Linked DNA regions of Callithrix jacchus. The protein of the gene in region 1 interacts with the protein of each later gene in a pairwise test. Links are inferred from orthologs where the notes say so. Each region holds a gene or a part of one and is shown in the gene's direction. Other genes may lie near its edges.

Region 1 (4,287 bases):
AGTCGGATTGCACTTAAACTTGAGTTACTGTGAATACTATATAAAATTACATGTGAAACCACAGCATCAGCTGTACAATGATATTCTTTAAATTTCTTGTCCAAGTTTTTAATCGTACCGTGCTAATTGCCTTCTTAATATGGTTTAGTGATTTTTATTTTTTGTTCTAATTAATATTGTATATCTGTTCCAAGTCAACAGATGGCTTTGCAGTTTAATTTTGGATTTGGCAGTTTCCTTATTTCAGGGAATTCAGAATCAATAGTCAGAATCATTTAGAAAATAGTGATAAGGGGTGGTGGTTTGTTACTGCATTGCCTGGGGGGAGAAAACAGAGTGGCAAATGAAAGAGAAAAGATGATAGAAGGATCTGTTGGCCATATGCTCCTCTACATCCTATTACTAGTTCCCATCATACTACAGTTATAAGTTAGTTTCATATATTCTTCAGAGTCTGATGTACCACTGCTGCTTTCTCAACTAGCATATCATATAGGTGATTATGCTTTTATTTAGGGTTTCATATAGATGTTAAGAAAATTTCTAGCTGGTAAAATTGGAGGAAATGTTAGTGATAACATGGCCTAATGCCTCCAAAATGTATAGAAATGAGAATGTGCCATTACTGATGACATTCTGGCACCTTACTTGTACAGTCTGTGGAAATATAAAATCCTAAGGCATGGTTCCTAATATTGATATAGAAGCAAGTGTACCTGCATGAAATACTGTGTAAGACATGGAAGAACATAAAGTGATAAACTAAAGTAGATGTGTAGATACATATCAATTTTTGTTACTCCAATTTCAAGGAAATTTAGCAGCATTTCACCTGTATTCTTTTTTTACACATTTAGATAACATGACGTGTGGTTTATGTGGTTTTTTTTTATTTGTTTGTTTATTTGTTTGTTTTTTGGTCTTTAACTTTGTAGGCTAACATCCAGTCAATCATGGCATCTGAAAAACAAGTCAACATCCTGATGAAATTGCTAGATGAGGCTCTAAAGGAGGTAGATCAGATTGAATTGAAACTGAGCAGTTATGAGGAAATGCTCCAAAGTGTAAAAGAACAAATGGATCAGATCTCTGAAAGCAACCACCTTATTCATCTTAGTAACACTAATAATGTAAAACTCCTATCTGAGATAGAGTTCCTTGTGGTAAGTATGATTGTAAATTAACAACAACAAAAACTAGTGATGATATATAAAATCCAGTTGTAAATATTTTCTAATTTCCTTATGAGAGCAGGATTTAAAATAATTCCAAAGACCTAATGATAGGATTGAGTAGCATCTTGCCTGTAAATTTCCCAAAATTACACATGCAAATAGTGTGTTTGCATATCTAGAACCACATGGACTTGGCCAAAGGTCATATAAAGGCCCTTCAGGAAGGAGATCTTGCTTCCTCCAGAGGCATTGAGGCCTGCACCAATGCTGCTGATGCCCTTCTGCAGTGCATGAATGTAGCTCTTCGACCAGGTATGTTCATTAGAAAAGACAAAAATGTGACTAAGAATCTGAGACTAAGCCTGTCACTTGTTGTAAAGATTTTGACAAGAAATAATATGAGGCAAGTGGTTTAGGGTTACATTATTAGCTACTCAAGTTTCACTGATTTCCCAACTTATTTCTATTGACACTAGGAACTTTTTCACTTTAGCTCCTCCTAATTGACCATCAATGACTGTAGTTAACACAGTGATTTTTATTTAGTGCTGTCTACAGAACCAAGCACAAAGTAGGTGCAGTGGTTAGACCAGAGAGCATAAGGTTTTTCTAGGCAGTGGCTTCAAAACTTGAGTATCCATCAGAATCCCTAGAGGTCTTATTAAAACATAGATTACCTAGCCCCAACCCCAGATTCAGCAGATATGGACTGAGGTTTTAGAATCCACATTTCTGACCGTTCCCAGGTGATGGTGAGGGAGGACCACACTTTAAGAACCACTGTGCTATCCTGTTTTTCTCCTGTTTTAACTTTTATCATTTAAGTAAATGAATATACCCATAAAACTTTTGGGTTCTTCAAAACTTTGGAAATGTTTAATATTCCATTAAACATCGAGGAAATCTTTTTACCCATTAAACTGGTCACAAAATGTCATTCTGTATCAGGCCATGACATGCTTCTGGCAGTCAAACAGCAACAGCAGCGATTCAGTGATTTGAGAGAGCTTTTTGCCCGGAGACTGGCCAGTCACCTCAACAATGTATTTGTTCAGCAGGTAATTTTATCTTATTATTAACATGAGCATGTTCCTATATATTATTTATATATGACCTTAACCTTAAATTTCCACCTACATATTAATGTGTTTAATTGGGATTGCAGTCAATTCCTTCACATATTCAATTTTAAGATTTGGAAATAGATGCTTCTTTGCTCATAGATGTTCTTTGGGCCTCAGCTGCCTCTTTAGGTAGACAGTCTAGTTCCCTTCAGCTGAAGCTCTCTGATTGTAAAAATCAAATAACTATGCATATTAAATGCATATACTACTTAGACATTCTTATTTATAAAAGTAAGTCCAAACTTGTTAGATGTTTACTATTAGACCTGATTTATTTTTCAATATTTTGAGGTGAGACTCAGAACTTGAGTCAGTATTTTAAATGTGTTGTAAGATCCATGTACTTAGTACATAGTATACTTGTTAAGAAAATGACTATAGCTTAACTGTAAATTTCAGTTGATCTAATTGTCATATAAATGCTTTGCCTATATTTTTATATGGAAAACGATGTTATAATTAAGAGTGTAGTATTAATATTGTTATTAATAATATTAAGAGTATCTTTGAGGGATTTGACTAGAATCCCTCAAATAATAATATCTAATGTAATAAATTAGGTTTCTAATTTTTTTCATCTCTTTTAAAAGTCCTATTTTATTAGCATTATTGGGTGGAAAAAAATTGGGGGGATATCTTGTTCATCAAGAAATACAGTCTGAAAACATTAAATTTTTACTTTGTTTTCACTTTGCAATATTCTAAAACAATTGTATTTACTATATTTTATTTCCAATTAGTTTACTCAGGCCCTCCTTCAACTCTATAACAGGTCGTACTTTCTTTCGGTTCCTGTGAGTACATCAAATTTGGCTCAAGCTTCTCTGATTCTTTTTTTTTTTTCTATTAAGTTTGCTAAACTTAACAGCAGCAGAATCTTTACAGATTATAACTTACTGATTTAAGCTACCTGTTAACCCATATTTGTAGCAGTTTTAAGTGTCTCATAATAGAGACTATTCAGGCCAAAAAGGCATTTAATCTCATTCTGCTTGCTTTTCTTTCTGTCATTTTTTCACTCACTTCATATATTTAGTAATAAATAGTAGTATTACTCCTTTAGTAATAATAATAATATTACTCCTTCATTTTTAGTAGTCATTTATATGCTGGGTGATTGAGGTACATACCAGACATTGACTTGGGATAAATGAGAGACCAATCCTGCCCTCAAGTAGTTCACGGTCTAGGGAAGGGAGACATACAAATAATATACTCCAGAGGGATAAATGTTACGATAGTGGGACCGTGGGATCATAGAGGAAGGCCACTTAACTAAAAGCACGGTAGGGGGAAATCAGAGAGATTCCTTGACCTGAAAAATATCAAGAAAAAGTAAGCTTAGAAGTCACATAGGAAATACTGATTCCCGTTTTTCTTAGGTAATTACTTCAATAACATCTATTTCTATACAGTTCCTTAGTTTTTAAAAATGACACTGTTGACAATGATGTTATCCACATTTGTAGATAGTATTGAAAATAGCAGCCAATAAACAAGAGTTTTCTGTATCCCTGTTTGTTGTAACATGCATTTATGATTTTGCTTCTTGTCTTGTAAACTAATGGCTTCATTTAAAATGAATGCTTCCCATTTCTGAAAAGCTAATATATATTGTTACATGTGAGTGATGCATGTTAAAAACCAGAATGCTGTGACAACCTGAGATGTGCCGGAAAAGGTGGAAGAAGATACCCCACACATAAGAAAGAGATGTTCTTTGTGTTGCATTCAGTGCATCAGGTCACCTAGCAAAAGAGTTGGGAAACGTGGGTATTTCCACTCCTGGTAGGGGAACAAGCTGGGAAAATTGATTAAAATAATATGGTACACCTCTTTGTCAATCACAGAATTTTCATTGTGTATTTATTATGCACTGTCTTCCATATGTAAGAATAAGAAATAGTTTGTACCCTCAAGATGCTTGTAAGGAGTTAATATACTTACTCCTTGTAAGGAGTTAAGACTAATGTACATTAGCAATGTAT
Region 2 (4,287 bases), on another chromosome or scaffold:
CCCTCAATTTCACAAGGGTAAACTTGCAGTTCAGAAGAGTCAAGAACCGTAGGCGTAGGCCAGGCAGGCAAAGCCACCTGCATGTAATTCCGGCACTTTGAGAGGCCTAAACAGGAGGATCCCTTGATCCCAGGAGTTAGAGACTGCGGTGAGCCCTGATGACACCATTGTACTACAGCCTGGGCCACAGAGTCGGACCCGTCTCAACAACAACAACGAAAAACAAAAACCATCAAAAAACAACAAAAGCACAAAAAATATATAAAAATAAAGAAATAAATAAAATGAAAAACTTTAGGCATCTAGTCACTGAGGCTAAAGGGACTGATGGAGTGCTGGCTTGAACTCGTTTTTCTGAGTTCAACTGCAGTGCTCTTCCCTTAGCGGTGCGCCTGAGCTCCTTCCTGGCGCCGGGCAGCTGCCAGGCAGAGCTGGGGAAAAGGCTGTTCTCCCGCTACCTCGCAGCCTCGCTTCCCCAAGCCGGAGGGACTGAGCTGCCCACTGAAGGCCTTTCTGATGCAACCCCCACAAGTAGAATCCACCGCAGCCTTTGAGATCCCGGAACCCAGGCGCAGGCTGTGTCAGTCGTCCTGCCGCACTGGCTTGGCTGGGGTCCGGTAGGAGAGAGATCCCCGCTGCTCTCGGGCGAGGCAGTTGTGCAGAGCTGTAGGTTGACTTAAGCCCTGGAGGCCAAGGAGGGGTCGCCAGGGGAAAACTTTCTCTGTTTTGCCTCTGAGATGTCGCAGCTTTTCTCAGTTACTCCATCCAACGCCACCCTCTTCAAACCTGAGACCGAGGGTGGGGGCACCCCTGGGCTGGAGACGCCGCTAGCCACGGCCTGCTCACACCGGGCCGAGCTCCTTGGAGAGGGAGGGACATGCGGCCTTGTGGGGGCGGGCGGTGCCGTGGCCAAATCAGCGGGTGGGGCACGCCCAGGCGCGGTCGAGTTGCCCCGAGGGCCTCAGGTGAGGAAGGCGCCAGGGGAGCGGCCTCAGGCGACTGCGGCACCACGTGTCCGACCGGGGCGGGGCCGGGCGCGCCCTGGGAGCCTGGCGCAATCCGCGGCTCTGGCGGCGGCGGCGCGTTGGAGCCGCAGCAGCCGCCGCCCGCAGCCCGCGCCGGCTCAGCGCAGTCTCCTCACTCCGTGCTCGCAGGTGCCTCCTCCTGGACGGCGGCAGCGGCGGCGCAAGGAGCCGGCGGGCAGCGGCGCGATGGGGCCCCTCCGAGAGAGCAAGGTAAGGAGCCCGGGGCAGTGCGGGCGCTGAAGGGCGGGGAAGGCGGGCGCTGCGGGGCGAGAAGCGGGCGGGATGAGAGCTGGAGGGGTGACGTTTAGGGTCCGGGGAAAGACAGGACAGGGGGAGGTGGGGTCCGGAGAAGGCAGGGGGCATTGCTTAGGTGTTGAGAGCCAGGAGATGGGGAGGCGGTACTGGAGGACTAGATTTTGGAGACTGACATGATTGGAGGGTTAATCCCATCTCCTGAAACTGGGAGTGTGTGGTGTAGCTTTCAGTTGATGTTCGGTGTGTGAGATGTGAATGAAAGGAATCTGATGCATTCGCGACTGGGAAATGAGGACTCGAGCGTGTCAGTGACCCCGCCTCGGTTCAGGGTCTGCGGTGTGCCCAGCAGAGGGGCTGGCGCGGTGGTACCTGCTGGGCGGCAGATGTGCAGGGCGAATCCGAGGCTGGGTGCGGCTGGCGGCCCCTGGGTACAGTGGTTGCCTGAGGGCCCTCTGAAGTTCCCTATCGCTGGGGTTTACCCTTCAATTCCTGCCATGTGCCGGCCTCCCAGAGGTGTTTATTTTGGCCGTGACCCTTCCTGGTTAAGTCTGAGGAAAGGAACAGTAGGTCATGTTTCGAAAGGGTGTTTGTTACCTAAGCCAAAGAGTCCCTTTTCAGTGACAGAGGTTGGAGGAAGCCGTGGAATTTTTTGCACAACGCTCCTCCTAGGAGTCCATTTTAATAAGGCAGGATGGTGGTGACCCTGCAAAGCACTGGATTGGAAGTTCGTTCTACTTCTGACATGGTGTACAGTCCTGCCTAAGCATCTCTACCCCATTTAGGCTGTTTCCTCACTGAAAATAGGGCCATTCATTTGTGTCCTCTCTATGTACCGTCTGGTGTGTAAAGATCAGATGAGAAAATGGTTGGGAAAGCACCTTGTAAGTTGCAAAACATTGTGAAAATATTACTGTTATGCATTTTTAAAACCAAGGCACGGCAGGGTATTGCATACTGAGTTTTCAAAGAGAGAGAAAAATCTCTTGTTATGGATGTCCTGTAAAGAAAACACAAACTAAAGATGATGTAAAAGGTGGAGCCATCTTCCCATCTATCAGATTTGTGTTTGCTTTTCTGTTGGCAACAAGCCTTGTGTACTAGGGTATTAATGAATAATTAAGATCCTGTCCAGAAGAGGAGGGATTTTAAAGATAATTTTGTGCAAGCTATCAGGAAATAACTGTTCCAGGTATAGGGTTCGACTTTGTGAGGAGACAAGAAAACAGTAGTCAGATAGTCACAGCTAATTTAGAGAAAGCAAAATGGAAGTCCGAAGGCTATCAAGTAAGAAGCCAGAGTGTGGTGTAATAAAGAGCCTTTGGGAGATGGAAGCTTGAATGTGATAGAAGAAGTCAGGGTGGGAAGGTGAGTCAGGACTGGCATAGGGAAGTAGGATGCCTTCCAGCTAGTGAGTAGAAGTCTGTAGTGTGTATATGTGGGGTGTGTGTGTGTGTGTGTGTGTGTGTGTATGCGCCACACAGATATGTGCTATTCAGTAGATTAGAAAGGTTAGCTCAGTAGAAGGGTTTTGAAGTTCATTCAGTAACTGAGATAAGCAGGGCTACTCTGTGAAGACTCAATACTCAGAAATGTGATTTCTTAGAAACTGATCCTTGAAGGAACCCACAGGAGTTCAGAGAGGGAAATGCCTTTCCTTTTGTTTTCTTTTTTGATGTTCAATTTTGAGAAGGAGCACAGAGTGCAGCACCATGACAAGGAGATTTCTCGAAGCCGAATTCCCCGGTTGATTCTTCGGCCCCATCTGCCCCAACAACAGCACAAAGTGTCCCCAGCCTCTGAGTCTCCTTTCTCTGAGGAAGAGAGCAGAGAGTTCAACCCCAGCAGCTCTGGGCGCTCAGCAAGGACCGTTAGCAGCAACAGCTTCTGCTCAGGTACAGTACCCTGGGGAAGCCACCAGAGGCATGAAGCATGTGCACTGCAGGTGCATTGTGAATGGGCCAGCACTGGGTCCCTTATAGCCTAGAATTACACTTCTACTATTAGGATGAATTGTAGAAGGTCATACATTTCTGGCTGTTGTGACCTACAAACACAGCATTTTCATATGGTTCAGTTTATTGGAACCTCACACCTGAATTTTCATGTTTTTCTAGCATATAATTTCGAATGTAAAATCTAACTGTTTGTTTCTATGAGGTTTTTTTTCATTTTTTAAATTATACTTTAAGTTCTGAAATACATGTGCAGAACGTGCAGGTTTGTTGTATAGGTATACACGTGCCATGGTGGTTTTGCCATACACATCAACCTGTCATCTACATTAGGTATTTCTCCTAATGTTGTCCCTCCCCTAGCCCCCCATCCCCTCACAGGCCCTGGTGGGTGATGTTCCCCTCCGTGTGTCCATATGTTCTCATTGTTCAGCTCCTACTTACGAGTGAGAACATGCGGTGTTTGGTTTTCTGTTCCTGTGTTAGTTTCCTGAGAATGATGGTTTCCAGCTTTATCCATGTAACTGCAAAGGAGATGAACCCATCCTTTTTTATGGCTGCATGGTTTTCCATAGCATATATGTGCCACATTTTCATTATCCAGTCTGGCATTTGGGTTGGTTCCAAGTCTTTACTATTGTGAATGGTGCTGCAATAAACATATGTGTGCATGTGTCTTTATAGTAGAATGATTTATTATAATCCTTTGGATATATACCCAGTCATGGGATTGCTGGGTCAAATGGTACTTCTGGTTCTAGATCCTTGAGGAATCACCACACTGTCTTCCACACTGGTTGAACTAATTTACACTCCCACCAACAGTGTAAAAGCATTCCTATTTCTCCACATCCTCTCCAGCATCTGTTATTTCCTGACTTTTTAATGATCGCCATTCTATGACTGTTTTAAAAATGAATTCCTTTGTTAAATCTAGAAAAAATATTGGGTTGAATTTTATACTAGCAACCTCTATAAGCCTGTGTACCTCTAATTATGAAATTCCCCAAAGATAAAGCAACTCCTAACAAATGGGGTCACGATCAGGGAGAGTT
Region 3 (5,087 bases), on another chromosome or scaffold:
AATGAAATAATTATACAACTCACCATAATGTAGAATCGGTGGGAGCCCTGAGATTATTTTTCTGCAACTAGAGGGTCCCACCTGGGGGTGATGGGAGACAGTGACAGATCATCAGGCATTAGATTTTCATAAGGAGCACACAGCCTAGATCCCTGTCATGTCTAGTTCACAACAGTTCCAGCTCCTATGAGAATCTAATGCCACAGCTGATCTGACAGGAGGTGGAGCTCAGACGATAATGTGAGCCATGGGGAGTATCTGTAAATACAGATTAAGCTTCCCTGGCTTGCCAGAGACTCACCTCTTGCTGTGTAGCTCGGTTCCTAACAGGCCATGGGCTGGTACCCATCTGTGGCCCAGGGGCTGGGGACCCCTTATATAAGGTGTTCACTAGGAGATATAAGAGGACTTAGCCCAGGTGTTAAGACAGTGTTCCAGACCGCACTCTGGCTCTAATACATTTAGTGATCAGAATATGGACTCTTGAGAGCAGGTTGCACCTATTGCTGGTAAACAAAATCTGCTAATATGTGAAGATCAGCATGTACTCTGTCAGGTTCTGCTGCTTGAGACCAATGGGTAAGCAGTTTGAGATGATACCAAAGGTATGGCATGCAGAAGTGTGATACAGCTGGCCTAGAGTTAGAACCTGTCATTTTATAAAGAGACAAAACTGTTTCCATTCTTCTCACAATGACTGCTGACCTTGGCTTCTGTAAACTGCTAAGTTTACTTTGCAAAATGCAAAGAGAGGTAAAGCTGCATACTTTCACTTATCTGTAACTGCCAGAATTGCTGGCCTCTGTTTACCGGTACTGACCCGAGTAAGCACCCCCAGATAATTCCATCCTGGCGCCAAGCAACTGAAAAAGTCTGTGGACCCCACACCTGTCCAAATAATGTATAAACTAATGTTTATCTTGACTTCTGTAAACCACTTATGTGGCAATCGGAATGACAAAAGTCCCCCGGCCCTTGGAAAGTCCGGAGCCCCCTCACCCTCGTCTCAGCCTAGGAGGTGACTGACAGCTTTCATTCCCATCTCCACTCCTCACCCCCACTCCCAAGGTGGTTTTGCGGGTATAAAAAGGTCTCGTCACCCTTCTTTCTCTGCCACGGGTTGGAGAGACGTCAGTCCTCCGTAGTTGCCGGCAATAAACCCTGCAATTTGGCATACTTTTGTCTTGGTGTTGACTTTCTGTGCTCGGTCCAATACAACAGAAGCAGGTTGCTGAAATGGACCGGAGGATTCACAGGCAGCTAAAGTTCAGGGTGTTGGATAAATGAGGCACATAAACATTAAAATCCTGTAGGATGATTGCAGGTGTTAGGAGTAAATTTGGAATCTTTAGGAATCTGTGCCTTCCACTAGGCTAGGAATTATTTTAACATCTCCAAGGCATGATAAAGGGTTTTGAATGAATTCGTTAAATATACGATTTCGGCGAAGTAAAGAGTAAGTCCAACCAGTTAAGGTCTTACAGTATTGGCGTAGAACATTTGGACCCCTGGCGCCTGGTATCAGGGACTTCCCCACGCTGAAGAGTTCGGGGAAGAGAAGCGGGCCCCTCTGGGGAGCAGCCACGTACACTAGGCACTGAAGACAGAATCCCAGCTACAGCTACTGAACAGAAGGGCACAGTCCATTAGGGCCCGCGTCAGGTTCTCTGGATCTCCCCTTCTCCCATCCGGACGCTCATCCCTGTGTTCTTCGCTGTGGGCCCGTCAGCCCTGCTGCCAGAGGCAGCATTCTCCCCGTCTGATTTCGCAGGGCCAAAGCCCAGGTGAGAGTCAGTGTGGTGTTGAGAGTAGCCCTCGCTCCGGTTCTGAGCAGCGAGGGCTGTCTCCGCACTCAGTGAAGTCAGGCAGCCGCGAACCTTGCGTCCTCCCGTGAGCGCGGGGCGACCGGCCGAGCGCGCATGTGCGGGCGCCGACATCGTGCTTGTGCCCTCCGGTGCTCCGTAGTTAGCCTTGGTGAGCTCCACGTAGGCCGCGCAGGCGCCCTTGGCACACAGTTCACCTGCTGCCGTTGTCGCCGCCGCCGCCGCTGCCGGGGCTGGATGGGGGTCCGAGGCCAGCCAGTGGCACCCGGAAGAAAGAGACGCGGCGGCGGCGACGCCGACACCCTCCGGACGAGTGTCCGGACTTGCCCGCGGGCTCAACGAGGAGGCGGCGAGGCCTGGCCCCCGCTGTCCCTGGTGTAGAGAAGTCGCTGTCGCTGCCGCGGCCGGGACTCCCAGGGCTCTCGCCCCTCAGGTCTCATTGACACTCAGGACCCTTCGCTGCGCCATGTTCAAGAAACTGAAGCAAAAGATCAGCGAGGAGCAGCAGCAGCTCCAGCAGGCACCGGCCCCTACTCAGGTACTATGGCCGCTGCTCTCCTCCGCTTGTTCCCGACACCCCTTGAACCGGCCCGGGACAAGAAAGGCGGGGAGAGTGGGGAGTTCTTCCGTGACCTTTGATCCCTAACCCGGGACTCTTCCCAAACTCCGGACCCAGAAGGAGTCCCGGTCGGCGCAGGTCGTCCGTAACTCCTGACCTGGATTTTTCCCATCACAAAACTCCATCCAGTACTGAGTGGATGGAGGTAGCTGGGTCCCTCGTGACATCCGATCTCTGCTACGAGTTTTCCCCTAAGGCCCGACTTCAGCCTGAGAATGTGTGAGGGACACCGAAATTGCATGATTTCTGATCTTTGTCTGCGCTTCTCCCACCCGAGACCCCACTCCGGGAATGAGGGCGGGGTGGGAAAACCCGGGTCCCTTGTGTGATAGTTGACCTCTGTTCGAGGTGTCCTCCTCTCTGTTGCCCATTGTGAGATTTTGTGTGGAAGGGCCAGGATCCCGCACAAAGACTGACCCTTGAGGAAGTCTCCTAATTCCAAACCCAGGTCCTGGGATTGAAGGCTGGGGAGTAGAGCCATCCCGGGTCAGGCTGCTTGCAGGAGCGGTGGGACCTGAACGAGGTGGCAGCGTGGCCGGCGTCCAGCGCCGGAGGCTGTCACGAGTTAGTCACTTCGCATAACTTGGTTGATCCGGGACTGGCGGGCGGGGAGGCAGAAGACGCCCGGCCGGCCTTGTTCCTGTGCAGAACTCTGCTCTGCATTCCTTTTGAGTCTTGCTGCTCTGCTGCTGCTCTGAGAATAGGGTTACGCTTGATTTTCAGGAATGCCTTCGCCGCAGGAAATGCATTTCCAGGGAAAAGGAGGCGTGTTACTAGTGTTAATTTAAAGAAACAGTTTCCTACGCATTTACTGAAGTTGTTTCGATGCTGGCAGCACAGGGTCTCAACGGCGAAGATGAAGGTTTCCGTTTAATTTCTTCCCAGGCTTTTTGAGTCTCGACAGATTGAGCAGATCTGTTCCTTAATTTTAGGGTTTCTGGTCTTTTGCTTGCAGTTGCAAGAAAAGCGGAGTTTTGACTAATTTGGAGGCATTTCTGAATTCTTAACATTATCTTATAAACGACTGAATTTGGTTTATTCTGAAACTGTAAACTAAAGTTGTTCTTTTTAAATCTAAAGCTTATGTGTAGTGAGACAGTGCTTGAGAAAAAATCAGAATACGACACCGAAGTCTTGCCTCTTTTCTCAAGTGTGAATGGTGATTAAAATCTAAGTAGTAAAGATTGTACTTTTCATACCATTTACTGCAGTCTTTTAAAATTTTACAAAACACTATTAAGAAACAAAGATAAACTTTAAACGTAGGTAGAGAGTGAGGTAGAGATGAGGAGTGTGAGGAAATGGGCATTTTAGTCAATGTAAGGCCCTTCCATTTGGGAATGTATTAAATACAATTGAGCCAGGATTCTATTTCTAGAAATTTATTCTAAGAAAATTTAGGATGTGATAAAGATTTAGCTCTATGGATTTTAATGTCAATGTTGTTTTAATGGGTTAAAAAGTAGCCAAAAAGGCTGGGCCTGGGGGTGGGAGGTGGGGGGAGTGGGGGGTCACACCTGTAATCCCAGCACTTTGGGGGACTGAGGTGGGTGGATCACTAGGTCAAGAGATTGAGACCATCCTGGTCAACATGATGAAACCCCGTCTCTACTAAAAATACCAAAAATTAGCTGGGTGTGGTGGCATGTGCACTTGGGAGGCTGAGGCAAGATAATTGCTTAAACCTGGGAGGCAGAGGTTGTGGTGAGCTGAGATGGTGCCATTGCACTCCAGCCTGGGCAACAAGAGCGAAACTCAGTCTCCAAACAAAACAAAACAAAACCTAGCTAAAAATCCAACTAGAGTATTGATTAAATAAACTTTATCCGGCAATTAGGTATGCTTGATAGGTTATTATGCAGCCATAAAAAAATCAACATTTACTGGATCCTTTAGTATGTACCAGACATTTTGCTTTGTATTTTACAGATTATTTTATTTAATCTCACATAAACCTGTGAGGTAGATAATTACAGTATTATGTAGATGAAGGAGCGAGTCTTAAGGAGGTGAAGTAACTTGTTTGTTGTTACACAGCTAGTGTCAGAGCCTTCAAAAAAGTATTAGCACAGAAAGATATTCGTGTTAAAAGACAGAAGCAGCAATTAAATGTGATCCCAGTTTTGTGAAAAATAATCTGTAAGTGAGTGTCTTTATATACACACATAATAAAACTAGTTTAAGAAGGGTATACTTTAAGGTGTTGCTGAATTATTGAGTGTGCTTTTTCTTTTTTGTAATGTTTAGCTTTTCTTCATGAAAATGAATTGCTTTTGTTCATTAACAAAGAGGTTGTTTTTAGTAATAATAGTAAAGCTAGTCACAAGCTAAGATACAAGAGCTCTGTTTCTATAGCTTAATGCTTCTGGTGAGACAGGGCATCTAGATCAAATAAAAACACTTTGTGTACAAAAGGTTTAAAATAATCCTTTTGAATTGTATGTATATTTACCGTGTTGGCCAGGCTGGTCTCGAACTCCTGACCTCGGGTGATCCACCCACCTCAGCCTCCCAAAATGCTGGGATTACAGTTATGAGCCACTGTGCCCAGCCATTTGCGGTCTACTTTTGATAATTATTTTGTAAACTTTCTTACTGCCTGCCATATACCTGGCAGTGACTTAACAACAGTGCTGTGGCGAGTA
Region 4 (4,287 bases), on another chromosome or scaffold:
TTGTTTAATTAAAAAAGAAAATTAGCCAGGCATAGTGGCACACACCTGTAGACCCAGCTACTCAGGAGGCTGAGGCATGAGGATTGCTTGAGCCCAGGAGCTCAATCGAGGTTGCAGTGAGCCATGATAGTGCCACTGCACTCCAGTCTGGGTAGTAGAGCAACATTGTTTCTTTTCCTTTCCTTTCCTTTTTTTTTTTTGATGGAATCTCACTCTGTTGCCAAGGCTGGAGTGCAATGGCACGATCTTGGCTCACTGCAGCCTCCACCTCCTGGGTTCAAGCGATTCTTCTGCCTCAGCTTCCCAAGCAGCTGGCATTAAAGGCATGCACCACTAGACTCAGCTAATTTTTGTATTTTTAGTGGAGATGGGGTTTCACCATGTTGGACAGGCTGGTCTCAAATTCCTGACCTCAGGTGATCCGCCAATCTCAGCCTCCCAAAGTGCTGGGATTACAGGCATGAGACACTGTGCCCGGCCGACACTGTTTCAAAAAGGTAATAAATAAGATAAAAATAAATACAAACTTAAAAACAAAGTGTATGGATCACTGTCTGTTTGTCCCCCACAGGGTTGTACTGAACGCTTTGTGTCCAGCCCAGAGGAGATTCTTGACGTGATTGATGAAGGGAAATCAAATCGTCATGTGGCTGTCACCAGTGAGTGGGGATACAAGGGGATCTCTCGAGTCTGAGGATCTACCCGTCTTCTGTGTCCTCTGGGGTGGTGGGACTCAAAAGTGAGCCAGGAAAGACTATGCCCCTCAGAAGAGAAGACCCTTTGTCTGAGGGATCCTGCTGCCTGGGAGATGTGGCAGTAGGTCTAGTCCTGGCGGGCACCTTCTCTCCAGGTGGGCGGGGCTGGGTCCAGTGGAAGCCAGGGGCTGAGGACCTCACTTCTGCAGGGTGGTGCAGGTCCTGTCTCTCCCTTGCTCCTGCAGACATGAATGAACACAGCTCTCGGAGCCACAGCATCTTCCTTATCAACATCAAGCAGGAGAACATGGAAACGGAGCAGAAGCTCAGTGGGAAGCTGTATCTGGTGGACCTGGCAGGGAGTGAGAAGGTAAGGGGTCCTGTGGATATGGGGTGGGTGAAAGCCTTGGCTCTTTCATATTTTTGAGATAAAGTCTTGCTCTGTCCCCAGGCTGCAGTGCAGTGGCATCATCTCGGCTCACTGCAACCTTTGCCTCCTGGGTTCAAGCGATTCTCCTGCCTCAGTCTCCCAAGTAGCTGGGATTACAGGTGCCCGCCACCACACCTGGCTAAGTTTTTGTATTTTTAGTAGAGACGGGATTTCACTATGTTGGCCAAGCTGGACCTTGGCTCTTCTTCTTTTTGAGATGGAGTCTGGCTCTGTCACCCAGGCTGGAGTGCAGTGGCGCAATCTCAGCTCACAACCTTTTCCTCAGTCTCCCAGGTAGCTGGGATTACAGCCACCTGCCACCACACCTGGCTAATTTTTTGTATTTTTAGTAGAAACAGGGTTTCACATCCCGGCTGGTCCTTGGCTTTTTTTTTTTTTTTTTTTTTTGAGACAGAGTTTTGCTCTTGTTACCCAGGCTGGAGTACAATGGCACCATCTCAGCTCACCGCAACATCCGCCTCCTGGGTTCAAGCAATTCTCCTGCCTCAGCCTCCCGAGTAGCTGGGACTACAGTCTTTTTTTGAACTAAAAAATTATTTGTATTGGGATATAATTCACATACCATAAAGTTCACCATTTCGAAGGCAACTCAGTGGTTTGTAGTATGTTCCCAAGGTTGTGCAACCATCATGCTACCCAATGCTAGAACACTGTCATCACCCATTCGCAGTCACTCTCCATTGTCCCCTAACCCCATCCCCTGTCCACCTCTAATCTACTCTCTGTCTCTATGGTTTTGCCTATACTGAACATTTCATATAAATGAAATCATATAATATGTGGCAAGAGGTGAAGGCAAGGTGGGCTTGGACAGGAGAGTTGAGGGGAACAGAGCAAGCGCCTTCCCCAATCCCAGCCAAGCATCTCTTTTACTCTGTCTTCTTCCCTGTTCCCTCCTTTCTCCTTGGACTGAGCCCTGGAATGAGATGGTGACAGCCCTCTCCATGTGTAGCTACTCATATATAGTCATCTCTTATTGCCCTGGTAGGTCAGCAAGACTGGAGCAGAGGGAGCTGTGCTGGACGAGGCAAAGAATATCAACAAGTCACTGTCAGCCCTGGGGAATGTGATCTCTGCACTGGCTGAGGGCACTGTGAGTGATCCTTAGGTCCCCTCACCCCTCAAGCCCCACCCCGTCTCCTCCCCCGCCTGCTAATGCCACCATATAATCATGCCCCAATTCATGGGTCACTTGATCCCTGGGTAGCACCACTGCACTTTCTGATTCCCTGTTGAATTGTATTAGTTTATTTCTGATTCATGGTCTCCTTCCTCCCGCAGAAAAGCTATGTTCCATATCGTGACAGCAAAATGACAAGGATTCTCCAGGACTCTCTGGGGGGAAACTGCCGGACGACTATGTTCATCTGTTGCTCGCCGTCCAGTTACAATGATGCAGAGACCAAGTCCACGCTGATGTTTGGGCAGCGGTCAGTGGCAGGGTCCCCATGAGGGATCCCTGGTACCCAACTTGCCATCCCAGCCCCTGTGGTTCTCTCTCCTCAGGGTCACCCAAGTCTAATGTAGGTCTCATCTCTTTGTTCCTCTTATTCTCACCCAGTGCAAAGACCATTAAGAACACCGCCTCAGTGAATCTGGAGTTGACTGCTGAGCAGTGGAAGAAGAAATATGAGAAGGAAAAGGAGAAGACAAAGGCCCAGAAGGAGACGATCGCGAAGCTGGAGGCAGAGCTGAGCCGGTGGCGCAATGGTTAGAGAGGGATCAGTGGGAGTGAGGGGTGGTGGGAGGAGGAGGAGAAGGCTGGGGAGCCAACTCTGGGTGACGTTTCTGGCCAAGCCAATCTCCAAGAAGCGGGGCTGCATTTCTGGAGAGGTGTAGTAGAGCAGTCATGAGGAAAGGGAGTGAGGGGGCTGACTACCTACCTCCCCAGCCCTGCAAAAGGTAGAAGGTCCACCTGGCAAGAGAGTTCAAGGGCCCCAGAGGTCTTGGTATGAAGAGTGAGAAGGAAGAACTCGTGGATGCAACCTATTTTTCTCCCATTCCTCACCTTATCCTGCCCCTTTGCAGGAGAGAATGTGCCCGAGACGGAGCGCCTGGCTGGGGAGGAGGCAGCCCTGGGGGCTGAGCTCTGTGAGGAGACCCCTGTGAATGACAATTCATCCATTGTGGTGCGAATCGCACCCGAGGAGCGGCAGAAATATGAGGAGGAGATCCGCCGCCTCTATAAGCAGCTCGATGACAAGGTGAGGGCGGCCAGGCAGAGCACGGAGGCGGCCAGGTGGGATGAGAGGTAGAGGATCAAAGAAAATCGCTTCTATTGCCGTTTTCTGGTTTTAAAAGGGGATAACTGCTTATGATTGAAATGTGGAAAAATCAATAAAATACGTAGAAGAAAATTGAAATCATCCACTATTCAGAGATAATACTTAACATTTTGCTTTTCTCTGTGCGTATACAATGCAATTGAGATATACTGTATATGTAATGGTTTTTTTTGAGACAGAGTCTTGCTCTGTTGTCCATCTGGAGTGCAGTGGCATGATCATGGCTCACTGCAACCTCTCTCAGGTTTTTTTTCCCCAATGAGACAGAGTTTCACTCTTGTTACCCAGGGTGGGGTGCAATGGCATTATCTCGGCTCACTGCAACCTCTGCCTTCTAGGTTCAAGTGATTCTCCTGCCTCAGCCTCCAGAGTAGCTGGGATTATAGGCATGTGCCACCACACCCAGCTTATTTTGTATTTTTGAGTAGAGACAGGGTTTCTCCGTGTTGGTCAGGCTGGTCTTGAACTACCCACCTCAGGTGATCTACCTGCCTCTGCCTCCCAAAGTGCTGGGATTACAGGCATGAGCCACCATGCACAGCCTGTCTCTCAGGTTTAAGTGATTCTCCTGCCTCAGCCTCCAGATAGCTGGGATTACAGGCACATGCCACCATGCCCGGATAAACTTTTTATTTTCAGTAGATACGGGGTTTCGCCATGTTGGCCATACTAGTCTCAAACTCCTGAACTCCAGTGATCCGTCCGCCTTGGCCCTCCTCCAAAGTGCTGGGATTACAGGTGTGAGCCACTGCACCTGACCTGTATATGTAATTTCGCATCTGATTTTTTTCATTCAGCATTCTATTATGCACAATTAATAATTCTTCATAAAAGTATTTTATTTTCATGTATTATT
Region 5 (4,287 bases), on another chromosome or scaffold:
GTGTCTGGGAGACTGGATCAGTGCATCCAGCCTGGAGTGGTCTGATTAAACATAGACTCAAGAGATCTTTATTGACAAAGTAAAACAAAAGTAAAAACACACCAACATTTTATTGACAAAGTAAAATAAAAGTAAAAACACACCAATAGCAGAAAGCATTCTACAAAGCGGGCGATCCAGAAAGCAGAAAGTGAAAGCGTTTTCTGCAAAAGCCTGTTCTCACTGCTAGGCCAGTGGGGCTCATGGCTGAGTGTTCTCCTAGCAACGGGGTGGGACCACTGCTAGCTGAATTCGAAACCTTCAGCTGCTAATGCCTAGTGACCAAAGATCTGAGTAATCAAAGTCTGCCCTCCTCAAAGTTTCCCACAGCCAAGCCGGTTGTGACAGAGCCTACAGCTGATTTCAGCGAAGCTAGACTTGTGTTCCTTTGTAGTGAACACTGCCTAGCAAATAGAATCTTAAAATATCTAAGATGCAGACCTATTTGATCTCTTCAGGACTATATTGTAATCGTGGATACACATGATGCACATTTCACATTTCCAAAGGTTTCTTTTGCTTTTTATTTTGTTCTTTTTGCTCATCCCACATTCTGGAATGAAGAAGGCCACAGCATGACAGTGCAAAAAGGATGCAGGGACTTCAAGCTCTCTTTAAAATGACATTTTTCTTTGTGCTTTTATGTTTCTTATTGTTTTTCTGTGCACTATGGCTTCCCAACATGCTTTGTTATGAAACTCTTTTCCCTTGTGTCTAATGTACTGAAATATTGTTACAGTCTTTGTAATGTATATTGTCTCAAGAATAAAAATGAAATGTGAGTTTTGGGATATTTGATGGGTGTACTTAAGAGCATTACTCTAGTTGTATTGTTGAATCTTAAATGTATGATGATGTATTTGAAGTAGTGTAAAAAGATTTCAGAATATTTGTTTTGCAAAAGAGTTGCACAAGGCATGATTCATTGAAAAGTCTTTAAAGCCCTGTTCAGATTCTACAAACTTATTTCCAAAGCTGAATATGAGAGTCAGTTTTAAAACTCTGGGTGTCCCATACTCACTATGCTCTAACACATGAATAGGAATTAAAGTGATAATTGATAGAAACTAAACATAAAAATCAGCCATGAACTGGGAGAAAATGATTCTTTTGCATGCGAATTCATCCCAGCGTAAAACAAACTAACCAAAAGTAAGATCATAATTTTTATATTTTGTTTTTAACTCAGTCATTAGTCCTTGTTTATAGTAAATTGCTTTAATTCTTGTGAAATCTTTTAAGTCCGCACATTATCCTCCAAATGTTTTAGGAATTAGCATATAAAGGCCTTACTAAATAGAAAACAAATTAAATGATCCTTTCTTTATCCCCCAGTGCTCATCAAACCCACATTTTCTAGATCAGTCCCTGACACCACTGGAAATTGTAGGTCACGCACCTTTGAACATTTTAAGACTAGACAGTCTTCCTCCACTCCAGTGTAGTTTCTCATGAGGTATAGGTATCCAAATCTTAGGGAATGCAAACAGTTGAAAAAGTTTCACAGGCGATTCCAGTATATCTCTGAGACCACACCCACTCCTACCAGCCCTCCTCCTCCCTCAGGTGAGGAGGATCTCTCCTAAGAAGGAGAGGAGGCGATTTTAACACATTCGCCATGTTATTATTAATAATTATCAGATGCATTACATTACACATTTAGTTAGAGATGTATTATTTAATTTGGGCTCAAGTCACAATGAAGACCTTTTGGCAAAACCAGACTCCGAAGTGCATAGAATAGTGAGATAGAGCAGAGTTTTATCAAAATCCAGTGACTTCTCCATTTCAATTAAGTACATTTTCCTCATTTTTACAGGAGCTCGCCTTCTTTCTGTAGAAACTTTAGAGGAAAAGATTGAGCTCGGAAGATGAAAAATTCAGCTACAGAGTTTAGGATCAATTGGGAGATGATTTATTAATGGTAAAAGGACGTACTTTTCATTTTCAAAGAGCAGAAAGGCAGTTTTTCACCCAGCAAAGTAAACTAATATAAAAAGGGCTTTGTTTTTTCATGGATCAGGCCTCTGGTATCAGTATTCAGCTGGTGCTTTTTAAGTGTATATACAAGTAATTTTTATCAACCTGATTGTTTCATAGTGTTGATGTGTAGTATCTCTTTATAGGATGCAATTTTGAGACACAATCTGCACCTTACTCTCAATTAGGCAAGTATACTTATTGTAATTGTTATCTTTTACTTACGTGATTGATGTGCTCAATTTTTTTCACAAAATAAATGGCAGCAGCTTGTCTTATGTCAATAAAATTGTCTAATTGTCATTCTAACCCTATTATAGCAGTTTCTCAAACTCTTAAAAAAATGGAAAAGATGCCTGTAGTTTTCAGTGTTATGCCTTAAAGCTTACTTTCCCCCCAGTTTTCTTATACATCAATGCAAAGCACTCTTTATGAGCACTAAATGTGGGTAAAGGTACAGGTCAGAGAGCTCCTGTTTAGTATATGTGGCATTTTAAATTGAGTCCTTTTGGGGACTAGTCTATCAAAGAGAGACACGTTTTCTTATCCATGTCAATTTTGCTTCCTATCTCTCTCCCCCATGCCTTTCACTTGGAATGACAACAGTTGACATTAAAAAGCTCTTGGCAGGTATGGAATAACCTTATTCTCTTACCTAATAGCAAAGACCAAAGTGCATGTGAGGTGTCTCACAGGTTCAATAAATCAGCAATTACATCTTTTGAGTGTGATATTTATAGGTGGCATTTAGAACTTGGGGCGTAACAATGTGTACAAACACATCATTCTATCTGCACCTACTGTCCAAAATACCTACTGCTCCAGCAAAATTTCTGACGTGTTAGTTTCAGGAGTAGCATGCAAACTGTGTTTTTCTTAAGTTATGCAGACAGCAACCTGTCCAACATCCAAGTCACAATCACTCATGAAAATTCGTTTATGTTGCTTATAGCTTCGCAGCTTGTGAGCTTTCACTAGAGCTGAGGAAAACTTCAAAGCGACTAGATGTTAGCACTTCTGCCAAAGGGATATTTCCTGATTTCACTCCATGTGTTTTATCCCTCCTCCATCTAGGACTCTAGCTCCTAGCCTCCCCGCCTAAGGGGTTACACAGGCATCTTAGCGCATCCCCTCTCCCTTTATGTCTCTGGTGCACTGTTCAGCCAGTCACCAGGTGAAGGGACTTGCACCTTCCAAAATCGATGCCACTTCACTCCCGGATCACCTGGTTGGGAGTGCAGTCTGAGCCAGGTAACCCCTGCTGAATCGGTCGTGTGTCCTCCGTCTGCTTCTGGTGCAGAGAGTACCAACTCCCAGGACATGCCCCTGTCTGCCTTGGTCCTGGACGCCTCCTTCCTGCATGGCAGCATGAAAACGCTACACAACGCTCCTCACCCGCCCAGGAGTATGTTATGGTGCTGAGCTTGTTGGGTCTGTCTTAATAACCTGATTCCCTTCTGTTGTTCCCAGTGGCCTGGTTTGCTTTCGATCCTGGCTCGGCGCACTCAGACATCATCCTCTCCAATGACAACCTGACAGTGACCTGCAGTAGCTATGACGACCGGGTGGTGCTAGGGAAGACTGGCTTCTCCAAGGGAGTCCACTACTGGGAGCTAACGGTAGATCGCTATGACAACCACCCTGATCCTGCCTTTGGCGTGGCTCGCATGGACGTGATGAAGGATGTGATGTTAGGAAAGGACGACAAAGCTTGGGCAATGTATGTGGACAATAACCGGAGCTGGTTCATGCACAACAACTCGCACACCAACAGGTACCCTGCAGCCCCCAAACCAAGCCTTCTTCACGTTGGCTGCTGATCAGGAGTGAGAGCCCTATTTCAAAAACCTATTACCTAGACCATAGTAAGGAAGTCAGGTGGTCTACATTAAGTGGCACAGACACTCTGTGAGCCTCAGCTGAGTCGACGCTGGTGGTTTACTTTTTGTATGATAGAGACTTGAATGCTTTCCTGCTCCCTTCATTGCTGTATTACACCCACAGCAGGAAAGTCAGAATCCCAATGATATCCATTATAAATAACAATCTAAGATGCTGAAACACCCGGACCTACAACTGATCAAAAAAACACAAATTACTTCGTTTTTTTGAACCTCAGTTTCCAAATCCATCAAATTAGTGTAATAAATTTTTTCCATGTGAGAATGTTCTGAAGATTAAATGAGATATATGAAAATGCCTTACATTGGAAGTACCTGAAAATAGAAGCCATTGTTCTTATTACAATTCATTAAACTAAAGCTTATG
Region 6 (4,287 bases), on another chromosome or scaffold:
GAGAATCACTTGAACCCGCTAGATGGAGGTTGCAGTGAGCTGAGGTCATACCACAGCACTCCAGCCTGGGTGACAGAGTGAGACTCCATCTCAACAACAGCAACAACAACAAAATTTAAAAAATTTAGCTCAGTACAGTGGCTCATGCCTGTAATCCCAACACTTTGAGAAGCCAAGGTGGGAGGATTGCTTGAACCCAGGAATCCAAGACCAGCCTACACAATGTAGCAAGGCCCCCACCTCTATAAAAAAGTAAAAATGGTGGCATGCATCTGTAGTCCATCCTAGCTACTCAGAAGGCTGTGGTAGGAAGACCACTTGAGCCCAGGAGTTTGAGACTGTAGTGATCTGTGATTGCACCACTACATTCTACCTGGGTGAAAGAGCAAGACCATGCCTCTTAAAAAAACAAAATTAAAGACAATGTCATACACTACATTAAAAACATCAGTGACCCTAAGGCATTTTTAAATTTCCATTTTTCCCTTGTTTGTGTTTTTACAGAATTCTTATATAATTACAGTGAGCATATAGTCACCATATATTTTTGTTACTATTAGGGCAAAAAAATTTTTTTTTTGAGACGGAGTTTCGCTCTTGTTACCCAGGCTGGAGTACAATGGTGCGGTCTTGGCTCACCGCAACCTCCTCCTCCTGAGTTCAGGGAATTCTCCTGCCTCGTCCTCATGAGTAGCTGGGATTACAGGCACGCGCCACCATGCCCAGCTAATTTTTTGTATTTTTAGAAGAGACGGGGTTTCACCATGTTGACCAGGATGGTCTCAATCTCTTGACCTCCCAAAGTGCTGGGATTAATATTTCTAGCTCATCTTTATAATCTTATTACATGGTATGTCATAATTTATTAAAAAGTTACTCAAATAGAGGACAGTAATGGTTTCTAGTTTATGCTCTTTTGTGTGCATTGAACCTTTTTGTTTTTGTAGTTTTGTGTTATATTTAAAATAAATTCAAGTTGTGTACGGTGGCTCATGCCTCTAATCCCAGCACTTTGGGAGGCCCAGGTGGGTCTATTGCTTGAGGTTAGGAGTGCAAGACAAGCCTAGACAATATAGTGAAACTCTGTCTCTATGAATGTTTTTTTAAGTATTAGCTGGTTGTGATACTGTGTGCCTTTAGTCCCAGCTACTCGGGAGGCTAAGGTGTAAAGATCACTTGAGCCAGGTAGGTGGGGGCTGCAGTGAGCCGTGATCATGCCACTGCACTCCAGCCTGGGTGACAGAGGGAGACCTTGTCTCAAAAAATAAAATAAAATAAATTGTGTAAGATTAAGATTAATGTACAAATCAACTTTATTAAATTTTTGTACTTCTCACCCTGGCACTAACTGTAATGTGTATTTATATTACTGGATGGAAATTCTTTTGAGATAGTTGCCTAAAATGACAGCTTATTACTCAACACTTGATGCCAAAATAATTTTTTTGGTACTGTTATGTTCTTCATCTATATACTTCTGTGGCTTAAGTAATTAATGTTTTTCAGATGTCTTCCAGTTTTTATAAAATTATATACATTAAAAAAATATATGTTCTTTTAACTTTTATTTCACTGACTTTAAGGGAACAGGTGATTTTTGGTTGCATGAATGAATTGTATAGTGGTGAAGTTAGATTTCAGTGCACATGCCACCCAAACAGTGTACATTGTACCCTTCTACATTGTGTAGTTTTTAAAAAAATCTCTCATCTTCCTCCCACCATCCCTCCTTCTGAGTCTCCAGTGTCTATTATACCTCTCTGTATGCCTTTGCATAACCAGAGCTTAGCTCCCAACTATAAGTAAGAGCATATGGTATTTGGTTTTCCATTCCTGAATTACTTTACTTAGAATAATGACCTCTATCTCCATCCACGTTGCTTCAGAAGACATTATTTCATTCTTATTTATGGCTGAGTAATATTCCTTGGTGTATGTATACCACATTTTCTTAATGCACTCATCAGTTGATGGGTAATTAAGTTGGTTCTACATCTGGCAATTGTGAATTTTGCTGCAATAAGCATACATAATGCAGCTGTTTTTTAAATACAATTTTCGTTTGGGTAGATTCCCAGTAGTGAGATTGCTGGATCAAATGGTAAATTTACTTCTTTAGAAATCTTCATACTATTTCCCATAGAGGTGTTACTGATTTATATTTCCACCAGCAGTATATAAATGTTCCCTTTTCATCACATCTATGCCAATATCTATTGTTTTTGGACTTTTTAATAATAGCCGTTCTGGCTGGGATAAGGTGATATCTCATTGTGGTTTTAGGATTGTTTTGTCTAATTCAGTGAAAAATGATGTTGGTATTTTGATATAAATTGCATTGAATCTGTAGACTGCTTTTGGCAGCATGGTCATTTTCATGATATTGATTCCGCTAATGAATGAGTATGGGATGTATTACCATTTGTTTGCATTGTCTGATTTCTTTCAGAAGTGTTTTGCACTTCTCCTTGTAGAGATCTTTTACTTTCTTGGCTAAGTATATTCCTAGTTGGTTTTTTTTTTTTTTTTTTTTTTCAGCTATGGTCAAAGGGATTGAGTCTTGATCGTTAGTCCTTCTTTGTGTGCTACTGATTTGTGTACTTCGGCAACCTGTGACTTTACTGAATATATTTATCAAATCTAGGAATCTTTTGAAGGAGTCTGTAGGATTTTCTAGATATATAATCACGTCATTGGCAAACAGAGATAGTCCGACTTCCTCTTTCCCAATCTGAATGCCCTTTATTTCATTCTCTTGCCTGAGTGAACTGGCTATGGCTTTCCATATGTTCTTATTTTTAAAGGAGAGACTATTATCCAAAATGAAAAAATTACTTGGATTGGAAATTGGAAGAAGTACTCTGAGAGAATTACTTTTTATATCGTCAAATTTGGTAGTTTGATTTTATTATTTCTGGATTTTGTGGTCATGATTCATAGCATACGTTCATAAAAGTTAAAAAAAGTTCTTTATTTTCTTCCAACATAAAGTTATTAATTAGTACATTCATTATTTGCTAGGAGATCTATAGAAATCATGAGTAGCTTTTGGGCTTTTCTGCATATAAAAGTATAAGTATCATATTATGTAATAATTCAAGTAATTATCCTTATTTAGTAATGTTTAATGTACTTCTTTTTTCACTTCACAGATTCTGTCAAATTTTAAGAACAAATGCACCTTATAGCTCATGGAAGAAAAAACACAAATCAAGACATTTTTGGGTTCCAAGTTGCCAAAGTATGGATCAAAATCTGTAAGAAGTACATTGCAGCCAATGTCAAATGGGACTCCTGTTAATTTATTAGGAACTTCCAAGAATAGTAACATCAAAAGTTACATCAAAAATAATGGCTCTGATTGTTCATCATCTCATTCATTTAATTGGAGAAAAAATAAATACCAACTTTGTGCACAAGGTGCCGAAGAGCCTAACAATACTCAAAATTCACGTGATAAAATAATTGATCCTGAAAAACTTGTTCCTACTCAAGGAATGTTTGATAAAAATGGGGTAAAGGGAGGTTTGAAAAGTGTTTCATTATTCACGTCAAAGTTAGCAAAGCCATCCACTATGTTAGTGTCATCAACAGAGGAGTTAAACCAAAAGTCTTTTTCTGGACCATCTAATTTGGGTAAATTTACCAAAGGCACATTATTAGGAAGGACTTCATATTCTTCGGTCAATACTCCAAAATCACAGTTGAATGGATTTTATGGAAACCGGTCAGCTAGTAGCATGCAAAGGCCTAGAGCAAACTCCTGTGCCACCGGAAGCAGTTCTGGTGAAAGCTTAGCTCAGTCCCCAGACAGTAGTAAACCTATTAATTGTGAAAAAATGGTAAGGTCACAAAGTTTTTCACATTCCATTCAGAATTCATTCCTTCCACCTTCATCTATAACCAGATCACATTCCTTTAATAGAGCTGTGGATCTTACAAAGCCTTATCAAAACCAACAGCTATCCATTAGAGTGCCTCTACGGTCAAGTATCCTAACAAGAAATTCCCGGCAGTCGGAAGTACTCAATGGGAGTGAACATTTGGGGTATGGGTTTAATAGGCCTTATGCTGCTAGTGGAAAGAAGTTGGCTATACCAAATGGTCCAGGTGTAACTTCTACTTTAGGCTATAGAATGGTTCATCCCTCTCTACTGAAATCTAGCCGATCTCCATTGTCTGGGACTATCACAGTTGATGGAAATCAAAATTCACCTGCTGACACATATGTAGAAGAAGATGCTACAGTTTTGGCTGAGGACCGAGCTACTAATAAGGACCAAGAAC
Region 7 (4,287 bases), on another chromosome or scaffold:
AGGTAAATTTGGAATCTAGACATATATATGATGTTTAATGCCATGAACATAGAAAACCACTTGGAGGGGAAAGAATTCAGTGAAAAGAGGGCATATAAGACCATGTGAGGGATTCCAGCATCTAGAAGATGGCTAGAGAAAGGGCAGATAGCAAAGTCAGTGAAAGGAGTGACCAGAGAAGTTGGGGAGAATATGGTATTGGAATCCAAAAAAGGGGACTCTCATATCTTTTGATAAAGGGCCTATAATGAGGAGGCTTTCTCCATTCTCATCTTGCTTTATTCTCCCCCTTGCCTGACTATAGCCCATGCACACTGATCTTTCAGTTCCTTGAATGGGCCAAGGTTTGTTTCTTTATCCTTATGGGGAGTTTTGTACCTGTTGGTCTGTCTGGAAAGTCTCCTATACATCTTCACATAGTTAACCTGGCTGGTTCTTCTTTACCTTTCAGGTGTCTGCTTAAATGTAATTTCCTCAGAGAAATTTCATCTTGCCCAGCAAGTTATTATTTATTATACTCTATTGTATAACCCTTCACTTCTCTTGTATAGTACTTGTCACGATTTCTACTATTATAATTTTTTGGGGGATAATTATATGATGGTTCTGCTATCTATTCTGTAAGCCTCCTTGAAGCCTTTTCTCATTCACTGTGGTATCCCCAGTATGTACCACATAAGTAGGTGCCAAATGAATAAATAAGTGAACAGAAACGGCTGCTCCATGCAGAGTATCTGGCTACCCAAATATGATCAGAACAAATTGCTTTAACTTCCTTCTCTGCTCTGGTTTCACAAATTACTTTAAAAAAAAAAAATTCTAGCATCTAGATATATCAAAGATACGTTGACATTTCGTTAGCGTCTCTTTTAACTTTGATTCCTTGTTATTTTCACTCTTGTTATGCTTTTCCACTGTGTTTGAAACCTTATCAGCGTATCTTTTAAATCAGTTCTTCACGTTTTCACAATTTCAGTCTTTCATGTCGTATTATTAGGCTTGGGTTTAATGAGAAATATATTTGATCATCAGGAAGGTGACTGGATCTTAACTAAATGAGATATTCAGGTGGCCCTAGATTGAATTTGTTAATACCAGAATTTTGTTATTTTGCTTTGATTTAAGCTTGACAATGAGATATTCTTAATAACAGTGGTATTATCTATTACAGTTGTTGAAAGTGATACACTAACAATAGAGTCTGGACCACTTACTAGTGAGGATAAATCACTTTCGTGTGGTACAAACTCTGGAAAAGAACAAGGTATTTCTTTTTATCACATCCTCAAATTAAATTTGACTCCTCACATCATTTTTTTTTTTAATAAAATTACATGTGATATATTAAGAAAGGGCATTATAATGGTGTCATAATTCTAAATTATTTAAACTAATTTTTGTTTGGGGCATTCCCCTAGAAATAAAAGAGACTCTGCCTATCACAACTGTAGCTCAGAGTTCAGTTCTACTTCATCCTCAAGAAGAAGCAGCCAGGATTAGAAAGTCAGCAAGGCAGAAACAGGTAATTTGAATTTTTATTTTTAAAGATTTATTCCCCCCACCGCCCCACTCGGTACTATTATATAATTTCGTTTGACTAATGACATTTGTTTTAATGTCTGGCTACTTTTGATATAATGTTTTTGACATTGTCTTACACAGACATTCAGCTGATAGAATGCATGTTGTCTTTGCTCATACTACTCATTCAATCCTTTCTGTGTCTGCTTTATATTTTATATATTTGTATGTGTCTTACCTTCCCTATAAAACTTATTAGCTTTTAAAAAGCGGAAACTATCTTTAAAAGATTGAGTTTATCCTACATAGTTTCTGATACAATGCTTTGTACATAGTAAGTATACAATAAATGTTGAATTAACAAGTCCTTATCATAGTATTAGACACTCAGATGGGCTTTGTAATCCCACAAGTTTTTTTGAAAAATATATTTCAGAGGGGGAAAAAAAATGTTTTTTTTTTGAGACAGAGTTTCACTCTCGTTGCCCAGGCTGGAGTACAATGGCTTGATCTCGGCTCACTGCCCCCTCTACCTCCTGAGTTCAAGCAATACTCCTGCTTCAGCCTCCTGAGTAGCTGGGACTACAGGCGTGCACCACCACGCCCCACTAATTTTTGTATTTTTAGTAGAGATGGGGTTTCACCATGTTGACCAGGATGGTCTCAATCTCTTGACCTCGTGATCCACCCACCTCAGCCTCCCAAAGTGCTGGGATTATGGGCGTGAGCCACCGCGCCAGAGGAAAAATTTTTCATATACAACCCCCTGTTTTTGCTCTGTCGCCCAGGCTGGAGTACAGTGGCATGATCATGGCTCACTGCAGCCTTGACCTCTTCAGTTCAGTCCTCTGACCTCAGCCTCCTGAGTAGCTGGGACTACAGGCATGGGCCACCATATCCAGCTGTTTTTTTTTTTTTTTTTTCATAGTAGAGATGAGGTCTTACCATATTGCCCAAGCTAAACTTTAACCTCTTTAGGCCAGCCGTGGTAGCTCATGCTTGAAATTCTAGCACTTTGGGAGCCCGAGGTGGGCAGATCTCTGGAGCCGAGGAGTTTGAGACCAACCTGGCCAACATGGTGAAACCCGATCTCTACTAAAAATTAGGTGGGTAAGGTGATACACACCTGTAATCCCAGCCATCCTGGAGGCTAAGGTGGGAAGATTGCTTGAATCCAGGAGGCGAAGGTTGCAGTGAGTCAAGATCATGCCACTGCACTCCAGGCTGGGTGACAGAGTAAGACCCATCTGAAAAAAAAAAAAAAAATTCTCCTTAACTTACAATTTTGGTCTCATCTACTATTAATAAAAGATTTTTCAACCCAACTTACCTAAAAGGAGGCTAATTATTACTAAGCAAGTCAGGTTGTAGTCCTAGTTTGTTTTTTCAAAAATACAGCTGGGGAGTGAGAATTCCATGTGCCAGTATTTCTTCTCAGATAAATATTTTCTCAGGCTGGGCACGGTGGCTTATGCTTATAATCCCAGCACTTTGGGAGGTCTAGGTGGGTGGATCACCAGAAGTCAGGAGTTCAAGACCAGCCTGGCCAGCATGGCAAAACCCCGTCTCTACTAAAAATACAAAAATTAGCTGCACGTGGTGGTATGCGCCTATAATTCCAGCTACTCAGAAGGCTGAGGCATGAGAATCACTTGAATCCAGGAGGTGGAGGTTGCAGTGAGCCGAGGTTGCACCACTGTATTCCAGCCTAGGCGACAAGAGTAAAACTCATCTCAAAAAAAAGAAAAAATATTTTCTTATCAATAGTCTAGAACAATATTGTTCATTAGCACTTTCTATGATGATGGAAATGTTCTGTATCTATGTCTAGCATGTATCTATTAGCCACATAGGCTGTTGAATTCTTAAAATGTTAGTGTAACTGAGGAACTGAATTTTAAGTTTTATTTAATTTTAATTAAATTTAAGTAGTCACATACAGCTACTAACCACTGTATGGATAGTATGGTTCTAGATGTACTACAGAACTGTAAACAGTCTAAATTCAGGGCTTCCTATGAGTGAGGGAAAGTAAGGAAGAGGAAGACAGGAACTCAGTTGAAGCCACTGTTGCCTAATTAGGAATAGGCAAAGAATCTGGTCGAGACTTTGTTTTTATCTTGAAAAGAAGATCATTGTTCATTATCTCTAGTAGAAGTGCTATTCTTTATATAATAAAACTGAATGTGCATTCCTTTTTTTACTTAGTAAATATTTTATCTATCAAGGACTGTATAGTAGTCTCTGCTTATCCACAGGGTATATGTTCCTAGACCCCTAATGGATGCCTGATAGTACTGAACTGCAGATAGTATTGATTCCTGTATATAGTATGGGTGAAATTTTTTCCTTCTTTATAATTCCACTGATAGAAAATTTACTCTTCCCATAGATGTTAGCAATCAGTGTACAATTTTTTTTTTCTTTCCTTATTGAGAACTTTCAACTTTTCACTAAAAGGAAGCACTTTACAGCCTCTCTTTGATACATCTGAATTGCCAGTATTACTGCTCTTATGCTTTGGAGCCATAGTGAAGTAAAACAAGGGTTATTTGAACACGAGTACTGTGATGCTGCAACAGGCAAGTTTTTGTAACCAAGATGGCTACCAAGTAACAAGTGGCCTGATTGAGTTTATAGCATGATATGCTGGACAACGGGATTATTCTTGTTTCAACCGGACAGTGCAAGATTTAATTGCACTACTTAGAACAGTGCATAATTTAAAACTTATGAATTATTTCTGGAATTTTCCATTTAATATTT

What was found.
Region 2: the proteins of EXOC1 (region 1) and SYBU interact in a two-hybrid assay, tested with the Homo sapiens proteins (2 studies listed by BioGRID and IntAct). The link is inferred for Callithrix jacchus from reciprocal best matches to the Homo sapiens genes EXOC1 and SYBU.
Region 3: the proteins of EXOC1 (region 1) and GOLGA4 interact in binary tests that used the Homo sapiens proteins (3 or more experiments, as listed by UniProt). The link is inferred for Callithrix jacchus from reciprocal best matches to the Homo sapiens genes EXOC1 and GOLGA4.
Region 4: the proteins of EXOC1 (region 1) and KIF5A interact in a two-hybrid assay, tested with the Homo sapiens proteins (2 studies listed by BioGRID and IntAct). The link is inferred for Callithrix jacchus from reciprocal best matches to the Homo sapiens genes EXOC1 and KIF5A.
Region 5: the proteins of EXOC1 (region 1) and TRIM9 interact in a two-hybrid assay, tested with the Homo sapiens proteins (2 studies listed by BioGRID and IntAct). The link is inferred for Callithrix jacchus from reciprocal best matches to the Homo sapiens genes EXOC1 and TRIM9.
Region 6: the proteins of EXOC1 (region 1) and CCSER2 interact in a two-hybrid assay, tested with the Homo sapiens proteins (2 studies listed by BioGRID and IntAct). The link is inferred for Callithrix jacchus from reciprocal best matches to the Homo sapiens genes EXOC1 and CCSER2.
Region 7: the proteins of EXOC1 (region 1) and CEP295 interact in a two-hybrid assay, tested with the Homo sapiens proteins (2 studies listed by BioGRID and IntAct). The link is inferred for Callithrix jacchus from reciprocal best matches to the Homo sapiens genes EXOC1 and CEP295.

Annotation. Positions count from the first base shown.
Region 1 is NC_133504.1:140,888,449-140,892,735, reverse strand, and holds part of EXOC1 (exocyst complex component 1), read left to right. Parts: intron 1-935; coding exon 936-1,163; intron 1,164-1,354; coding exon 1,355-1,487; intron 1,488-2,123; coding exon 2,124-2,233; intron 2,234-3,039; coding exon 3,040-3,093; intron 3,094-4,287.
Region 2 is NC_133517.1:87,414,378-87,418,664, forward strand, and holds part of SYBU (syntabulin), read left to right. Parts: intron 1-1,056; exon of another isoform or gene 1,057-1,154; coding exon 1,155-1,235; intron 1,236-2,967; coding exon 2,968-3,172; intron 3,173-4,287. UniProt on the Homo sapiens protein: Part of a kinesin motor-adapter complex that is critical for the anterograde axonal transport of active zone components and contributes to activity-dependent presynaptic assembly during neuronal development.
Region 3 is NC_133518.1:75,101,716-75,106,802, forward strand, and holds the start of GOLGA4 (golgin subfamily A member 4), read left to right. Parts: upstream 1-2,013; 5' UTR 2,014-2,289; coding exon 2,290-2,361; intron 2,362-2,472; exon of another isoform or gene 2,473-2,661; intron 2,662-5,087. UniProt on the Homo sapiens protein: Involved in vesicular trafficking at the Golgi apparatus level. May play a role in delivery of transport vesicles containing GPI-linked proteins from the trans-Golgi network through its interaction with MACF1. Involved in endosome-to-Golgi trafficking.
Region 4 is NC_133510.1:62,128,708-62,132,994, reverse strand, and holds part of KIF5A (kinesin heavy chain), read left to right. Parts: intron 1-571; coding exon 572-659; intron 660-940; coding exon 941-1,065; intron 1,066-2,134; coding exon 2,135-2,239; intron 2,240-2,427; coding exon 2,428-2,576; intron 2,577-2,707; coding exon 2,708-2,856; intron 2,857-3,174; coding exon 3,175-3,350; intron 3,351-4,287. UniProt on the Homo sapiens protein: Microtubule-dependent motor required for slow axonal transport of neurofilament proteins (NFH, NFM and NFL). Can induce formation of neurite-like membrane protrusions in non-neuronal cells in a ZFYVE27-dependent manner.
Region 5 is NC_133509.1:85,561,057-85,565,343, reverse strand, and holds part of TRIM9 (E3 ubiquitin-protein ligase TRIM9), read left to right. Parts: intron 1-2,165; coding exon 2,166-2,207; intron 2,208-2,625; coding exon 2,626-2,649; intron 2,650-3,489; coding exon 3,490-3,793; intron 3,794-4,287. UniProt on the Homo sapiens protein: E3 ubiquitin-protein ligase which ubiquitinates itself in cooperation with an E2 enzyme UBE2D2/UBC4 and serves as a targeting signal for proteasomal degradation.
Region 6 is NC_133513.1:45,819,141-45,823,427, reverse strand, and holds part of CCSER2 (serine-rich coiled-coil domain-containing protein 2), read left to right. Parts: intron 1-3,152; 5' UTR 3,153-3,191; coding exon 3,192-4,287. UniProt on the Homo sapiens protein: Microtubule-binding protein which might play a role in microtubule bundling.
Region 7 is NC_133511.1:46,665,990-46,670,276, reverse strand, and holds part of CEP295 (centrosomal protein of 295 kDa), read left to right. Parts: intron 1-1,171; coding exon 1,172-1,264; intron 1,265-1,418; coding exon 1,419-1,522; intron 1,523-4,287. UniProt on the Homo sapiens protein: Centriole-enriched microtubule-binding protein involved in centriole biogenesis.